Coturnix japonica: one gene and its partner. The protein of the gene in region 1 purifies or fractionates together with the protein of each later gene. This does not show direct contact. Links are inferred from orthologs where the notes say so. Each region holds a gene or a part of one and is shown in the gene's direction. Other genes may lie near its edges.

What was found.
Region 2: the proteins of protein argonaute-1 (region 1) and DICER1 purify together in Homo sapiens (co-immunoprecipitation; 7 studies listed by BioGRID and IntAct, with this or other methods). This does not show direct contact. The link is inferred for Coturnix japonica from reciprocal best matches to the Homo sapiens genes AGO1 and DICER1.

Annotation. Positions count from the first base shown.
Region 1 is NC_029538.1:3,733,134-3,737,470, reverse strand, and holds the start of protein argonaute-1, read left to right. Parts: upstream 1-1,265; 5' UTR 1,266-1,370; coding exon 1,371-1,395; intron 1,396-4,337.
Region 2 is NC_029520.1:41,573,939-41,577,756, reverse strand, and holds part of DICER1 (endoribonuclease Dicer), read left to right. Parts: intron 1-256; coding exon 257-436; intron 437-784; coding exon 785-998; intron 999-1,409; coding exon 1,410-1,563; intron 1,564-2,186; coding exon 2,187-2,369; intron 2,370-2,668; coding exon 2,669-2,774; intron 2,775-2,865; coding exon 2,866-3,041; intron 3,042-3,279; coding exon 3,280-3,818. UniProt on the Homo sapiens protein: Double-stranded RNA (dsRNA) endoribonuclease playing a central role in short dsRNA-mediated post-transcriptional gene silencing.

The DNA of each region.
Region 1 (4,337 bases):
TATAAGATCAAGGTTTTGGTAATACTGTCCTATGCAGGTCTGAAAGCTGAGTCTGGAGGTTGGGCTTGGTGATCTGAATTGTGATGCATGTGTCAATCAATGGGAAGATGTGCATTCTGTAGATGTAGTTTTTAAGGTGTTTTCGTTTCGTTTTTGTTCTTTTTTTTTATATATATATATAAATAAAGCCTGTTGGCCACTGTTTAGCTCTGTGGTGTGGAGGGTTTTACATGTAGCAACGTTTAAAGAGTCGGGGAATGGGGATGGTTGATATTTAATACAAAATAAAAGGGGCACGTTTGTTCAACAGACCCTACCCCCCCAATCTACCTTTGTGGATGTGCTGTAGGATTTTTCTTGCTCAATAGCAAGGCAGCAGCTCTGCTTTCATTTTCGGAAGGCAGAGTTTGGAGGGCATTGTATCAATACTGTTTCAGCTGCAAGGTTTGATTTTTTGTTTCCTTGTGCATTTGAGGAAAGACCTTGTAATATCACTTCCAGGTTTTCTTACACCTTGCTATTGGCGTTTCCATATTTCTATATGTCTAGAGGCTGAAACTTCAGTGTAAGATGTTTGCATTCGTTCCTTTTTGCCCTACGGTGTAATTTTCGTTTCTATATTGTTAGACTTGTAACGTTGGAGATGGTTATTTGCTGAACTTTGGGCTGGGTGTCTGATAGCAATACGAGGTACTCATTGGAAGCTGTTCTGGGTGGGATAGCGGCCCCATGTTGCGATACGATGCCGGTTGTGTACAATTTGCAATGTATTATTCTATGATTCCGATGATTTCTTTGGATTTTTATTTGGATTTTTAGCCTGCAGGGATATTTTGTGTTCATGTGTCCGAAAATAAAAATAAAAAACAATGATTAAAAAAAGAAAACGGGGTGTTCGTGTGCTCAATGCTGGTCATCCTTTATGTTTAATAATCATGCAGTGGGTAACCTAATTAAGGTGCTTTATATTGATTAACTTGGCATTGCAACTTGTGTTGTGCACAGCAGGTTGTGATGTGAAGCATTGAACCAACACAACGCTGCTGGCTGCTGCTTTAACTGAGCCGTATTATTGAGCCCCATTTGGGGTCTGGATGGTTATAAGGTGCCGTTTGGGTCGCGGTTCTGTCCCTTATTGGGTCGGAACCGGCTCGGAACCATCGCATCAGCCCTGAGGTGACGCTCCAAGATGGCGGCGTTGGCGGGGCCGTGGGGCGCCGCCTTTGTTGGGCGCGGGGCCGGGCGGCGGCGGCGCGTGCGCAGTAGGGCGCAGCGTGAGGCGGCTGCGGCGGTGCGGTACCGGCCCCGGCCCAGCGCCCCGGCCCTGCGCTGCCCGCGGCCCGGCTCGGAGCGGCACCCGCGTGGATGGGATGGAAGCGGGACCTTCGGGAGCAGGTGGGGAACGGGGAGCAGAGAGGGGAGTTTGCTGAGGGGGGAACGGGGAGGGAGCGCGGCCTACGGAGGGGGATGCGGGAACGTGGCTGTGAGGCGAAGGGGGGCCGCGCCGCTTCCAGGGCCTGGATGGACGGGGGATGTGGAGACGGTGCGGGGATGTGTGGGGCTCTGCACCGGCACACGGGGCTCATAGAGCCGCTACGGGGCTCTGTCGGGTTGGAAGATGAGCCGGGCCGGGCGGCATCCCACCTCAACACATCCCATCCCACCTCAAAGACCATCCCATTCCCACCTCAACCCATTCCATCCCACCTCAACACATCCCATCCACCTCAACACATCCATCCCACCGCAACACCATGCCCATCCCACCTCAACGAACATCCCATGTTCCCACCCTCAACACACCCATCCCACCTCAATACATCCCAATCCCACCTTCCCAAATCCATCCCACCTCAACACATCCCATCACCACGCAACCATCACCATCCCACCTCAACACATCCCATCCCACCTCAACCCATCCCATCCCACCTCAACCCATCCCATCCCACCTCAACACATCCCATCCCACCTCAACACATCCCATCCCACCATCACATCCCGTGTGGAGCTGCCCATGTCCGTGTGCTGGGTGTTTGGGGTCGATTTATTGTTGGTTGTGTGGAGGATGAGGTCCGGAGCACAGTACTGGGTCAGTAGGGTGAGAGCTGTGCTTCAGCATCCCCTGCTGTGTGCTGGGAGCCTCCTGCTCAGCCCAGCTGTGTGTACCGGGATCATAGAGCACATAGGGGAATGATTTGCTGAGCGTGAGATGGCCTGGAGAGCAATACATGGAGAGCAGTGTATGGGGAGCAGTACATGGGGGGCAGCTTTGAAGCCAGACTTGGTTTCTCCCCAGCTCTCCGTGCTGTTCATCCTTTGCAAGTTTCCTTAACGCTTATAGGCTTAACCGTTGTGTCCCTGTGCAGCTCCTTGTGGATAAACCCACTGCTGGTTCTGGCTGTTGGATCCCTGTATGGTGTGATCACATCGGTGTGTTGCTGGGATAGGATTAAAGTGAGACACAAAGCCTGGAGCAGCACTTTGCCTGGAGGCTGAGCACGTGTGGTTCATCCCTGAGTGCTTTCCGTAGTCTATCTCTAACCCCAGCAAGAGATAAACGATGGGAAGGAGGACAGATGGGGCAGAAAAGCAGTGCTTTAAAGCAGGATGGAGTCAGCTGTGTGTGGGTTTGAAGCTCCCTTTGGGGATAGGTCTGGACTGTGGGGTGTTCACCCCATGGACAGGGTGTACCCTCATAGATGGGCACGTGGAACATGAAGCTGTTTGCCTTTGTCCTGGCTCTTCCCCAGGAGCTGGGAGGATTTCTTTGTCTGTCAGCTGCACTTTCTTCTCTTGTGCTTGGAAAGGCTACACCAGCGTCTGTGAAACTCAGCCTGAACAGATGGGAGAGATGTTATCTTATGGCCTTTCTAGGTGCTGTTAGCAGAAACCCTGGGGCTCACAGTCAGCGAGGAGACGTTGTGGATGAGTGGAGTAGAGAGCAGTGCTGGCTGCCAGGCCCCGGCCCTTCACTGCAGACACAAATGTGTGTATTTCCAGCTCTGCCAGCTGCTGTGAGCTCCTGCACATGGCACAGCCGGGTTAACAGCCTGCAAAGCTCTAGTTGGGCAGCCCTGATGGGTTTAGTGCCACTGCTGCGTGTGTTGGTTCACAGTCCTTATTAACAGCTGCATGAAGCAGCCTTGCCTGTTGATGAGAGCTGTGATGGAGCTGGGAATGTTGCTGCTGTTCTGGCTTTGATGCTGGTGCTGTTGCTTGCTTTGCTTCCTGCTGGGAGTTTTCACTTCTTAGGGTTGATTTAAGGTGGAAAATGGCTCAGGATGAGGTTGGGCTGCACGTTGTGTCTGGGGGCTTTTGTCACACACATTCAGCCCTGCTGCTCTGGTTCTCAGCTCCATCTTCACAGTGCTGGCTGTGCAGGAGGGGCCCTTCAGTCCCTCTTTGGTGATAAAACTCCCTTTTGTCTCAGCCTGTTCTGTGGCCCCTCTCCTGAATGCCGCCTTGGAGAGGATTTAAATGACATGGTAATTTCACGCCTTCCCACCGGTGCTTTGGCCCAGGCAGCTGTTGGTCAGTGGCTTGTGTTTGCCGGCTGTTAGAAGCAGCAGCAGCAGAAACAAAGCTGCTCCCAACGCTGGTGACCCCATATGGACTCAGCCTGGCATTGCTGCCATCCCTGCCCGCTGCTGCTCTTTCATGCACCCAAGGAAGGCCCTGCTGCCCGCCGTGTCCCCAGGCCATGGCTTTGTGTGCCAAAGTCTGTGATTCCTCCCGAGCTGCTGAATTTATAATGGCAGGCGGATTTTGTACCGCTCACTGGCTGCATTGTGCTGCAGGAACAACACTCACCCTGCAGCCCCTGGCCCTCGGCGCCCTCATTTACATCACAAAGTGGGAGTCTGTGCAGCTTTGCCATGGAGAGTCGAGGTATGCGGAGAAACCCCTCAGTCTGGGGATGTTGGGGTCACTCTTCAGTGGGTGACTGCTTCAACTCCTTGTGATCGAGGACCTCTGCAGTGACCAAAATGAAACCCTCTGCTGCAGCACAGACAGCAGCTTTCCCATCCTTGTCACCGCTCTGGTTTGCTGCCCTCATCTTTGTGGAGCTGTGCTCTGCAGCAGGGATGTCCGGATGACTTACATTGCATTCACAACATTCCGTGGCTTATGTTGAACTCCTCAGCCAGCTCTTGTGTCGCTTGAGGCTGTCTCCTTAATCTGTGCCTCACAATCTCAATGGTGAGGGCTTGTGCTCGTAAAACATCTGGAAATCTTCAGGTGGAAGGAAGGCAGAGGAGAATCGTGCAGCTCCTGAGGGGTTTGTGCTGGCAGTTGGTATCATCTCATAGCCAGGGTGCTGGAGATTGCCAAGA
Region 2 (3,818 bases), on another chromosome or scaffold:
AAGTTCCCTTAGCAAACAGGAAGATCTGGGAGCATTATTCTCTTTTGATGACATGAGCTCCACAGTTCCAGGCCATGTTGCTGATCAGATGTTTTTGTGTAAGAAAGAGCTTATGTAAGTCTAAATTAATTTTCTTATTCCTCCTTTTTAGCAGTACCTTACCAAATAAGCACAGGGATGTTTGTTCAAAGAATAGCGTTTAGGTTAGTTTTGCTGATTTAATCATGCTAATGTTTTTCTATTTTATGTTTTTTAGATTCCAGAATGTTTGAGGGATAGTTATCCCAAACCCGATCAGCCCTGTTACTTGTATGTAATAGGAATGGTGTTAACTACTCCATTGCCTGATGAGCTCAACTTTAGGAGACGAAAGCTATATCCTCCTGAAGATACGACGAGATGTTTTGGCATATTGACAGCCAAACCAATACCTCAGGTAATGAATTTAGCTCCTTTATTTTATCTAATGTGCCTCACAATCTCATTTTTCCAAGCTGAAGAGTTGGAAATGATCATAAAAGGCAAGAGACGTCTGAATAATGACTTTAATATGTTTTAACTTTTGCTTAGACCTCAGAGGTCTTGATGTGTGTCCCTTCCAACTGGACATGAGTGATGTTTCAAACAGCTGGCAGACTTTCTGTCATTATTATTGTGGTAGCAAAGTGTTAGCAGCAGTCTTTACATACAAATGTCTGAACTGTGTAACTAGTACTCTGTAGAGGAATCCTATTCTGAATTTTTCACTTTTGATTTTTTGATTATTTTTTTTCCCCATATTTAGATTCCTCACTTTCCTGTGTATACTCGCTCTGGAGAGGTTACAATATCAATTGAGCTTAAGAAATCTGGTTTTACTCTGTCTTTGCAAATGCTTGAGCTGATAACACGACTCCACCAGTACATTTTCTCACATATTCTTCGTCTTGAGAAACCTGCACTAGAGTTCAAACCCACAGAAGCTGATTCAGCCTATTGTGTTCTACCTCTTAATGTTGGTAAGAACAGAGGTGCTTTTTTAAATATTCACTTCTAATTCTTTTAGCAAAACATTTTTTAATATTTATTTTAAATTTCAGAGATTAACTGCTGAAATAATGTCGTATGTGGTAGTATGAAGTCTTATGTCAGTATTCTTTTTATTTCTTATTCACAATTCTTAATTAGATTTAATTTGGTGATGTGAGTTGATTTATAGCAAATTCCAGTTGACTCAATAAAGGTGTAAAATCGTACACATATATTTTTGTATGTGTGTATATATATATTTATCACAAGTAAAATAGAAATATAGAATAAGAAAGCACACTGGATAAGAAAAAAGAAGTTGTAATTTACAACTTGTCAGAAAAACTCTTCCTGAAAAACTTTCCTGTGAATAATTGTGTTATACATTTTCCTTTTTGAAGTTGATGACTCCAGCACTTTGGACATTGACTTTAAGTTTATGGAAGACATTGAAAAGTCTGAAGCGCGTACAGGCATTCCCAGTACACAGTATACAAAAGAAATGCCTTTTATTTTCAAGTTAGAAGACTACCAGGATGCAGTTATCATTCCACGGTGAGTAGCAAGGATCTATTTGGACATTCTACAAAATAAGCATGGCTGTGAATGAGATAAGAAAAAAAGGATTTTGTGAAAGCTTAATTACACAACATATTCTTCAGCAAAGAATTTCAGATTTTCACGTAGTATCCAGTGAGCATCACTAAAAGGTGTTTCACAATCCTGGCTTCAGTTTTCTAACATTGTATCTCTATTAAAATAGTTGTGTTCTCCTTAGAAGGCTATGGTGGATTTACTATATTAGGTATTTTAATTTTTGAATTTTAAGCTTATTTGCCAGTGTGGATAGAATACATTTTTTGTATGGGAACTTTGATTCTCTGAACTCTACTGACTCTAGCACAAATAGGAAACCAGATTAAAAGAAGCAAAGTTAGCAAGTGTAATTGGTGTTTGGAATTAAGGAATCATCATTTGCAGAATTACTCTTCAGACTGTTATCAGTATATTTGATTTTGAAGTTGTTAAACCCTCATTTATTTAACTAGTGTTTGAAAATAAAAGCCCTAAATTGAGTTATTTAATGGTTTTTCACTTAATCACATTCAAGCATCAAGAAATCACCACCACAAGCTTTACTCTAAGGATAAAACATGCTACACTGTTCTTTTTTTTAGGTATCGAAATTTTGATCAGCCTCATCGATTCTATGTAGCTGATGTATACACTGATCTTACTCCACTCAGCAAATTCCCTTCCCCTGAATATGAAACTTTTGCTGAATATTATAAAACAAAATATAATCTTGACCTGACCAATCTCAACCAGCCACTGCTGGATGTGGACCACACATCTTCAAGGTAAACAACAATCATATTTCTGTTTGATATTTGAAATACAACAACAAAATGCTATTCTTTTTCCCCTATGTGATAAAGTTAAAGGTTTGTGCTTTCCAAAATACTGTTTTTTCTCTGGTGATACCTTGCATATGTTACACTCAAGTTACAGTTGTATATTGCTTTTATTCTTTTTTTTCCACTTCATAATGCGTTACAGGTGAATTCTAAGAACAAGTCGTCACTTCAGAAAGTTTAAGCTTGTAAGTTTTATTTATTAATAATATACTTACATTAGACTGTTTTCACATGTATTTTAGACTTAATCTTTTGACTCCTCGCCATTTGAATCAGAAGGGGAAAGCGCTTCCACTGAGCAGTGCTGAGAAGAGGAAAGCAAAATGGGAAAGTCTGCAGAATAAGCAGGTAAAATACAAGTATTAATTCAAGTTGCCTCTGCATTAACAGTATCCTGGAGACTACCCTTAGAAATATAATTATATTCTTCCCGTCCCAGATACTGGTTCCTGAGCTATGTGCTATACATCCTATTCCAGCATCATTGTGGAGAAAAGCAGTTTGCCTCCCCAGCATACTTTATCGCCTGCACTGCCTTTTGACAGCAGAGGAACTAAGAGCTCAAACAGCCACTGATGCTGGTGTAGGGGTTAAATCACTTCCTGCAGATTTCAGGTTTGTATTTTTTCAGTATGTTTAAAATCTGACTTCATTGAAAACAAGGGGAAGACTTAACTGCTGTGAGAATTTGAGATTGATAGTCTCTGTTTAACTCAAGTCACTTGTCAGTGACACTGATAATTAAAGACTTGATTGGAAATAGTGACTACAGCATCTAAATTCACTTTTTAACAAGTATGTGCATGTAGTTATCTATAATCTTCTTAACAACGCCAACATGTTCTCTTCACAGATATCCTAACCTGGACTTCGGATGGAAAAAATCTATTGACAGCAAATCTTTCATCTCCATACCTAGCTCCTCTTTGGTAGAGAATGAAAATTACTGTAAGCACAGCACAATTGTAGTCCCTGAAAATGCTGCACATCAAGGTGCTAATAGAACCTCTTCTGCAGAAAAACATGACCAAATGTCTGTGAGTTACAGAACACTGCTTGATGAGTCACCCAGTAAACTCCAAATTGATGTCTCAGCAGAACTTGCAGCAATTAATGGTGTTTCTTATAATAAAAATCTTGCCAATGGCAATTGTGATTTAGTTAACAGAGACTTTTGCCAAGGAAATCAGCTGAATTACTGCAGGCAGGAAATACCTGTACAACCAACTACCTCATATCCCATTCAGAATTTATACAGCAGTGAGAACCAGCCCAAGCCCAGCAATGAATGTACTCTACTGAGTAATAAATACCTTGATGGAAATGCTAACAGATCTACCTCAGATGGATGCCCCAAAATGACAGTGACCACCAGTACTTCAACAGCTATTA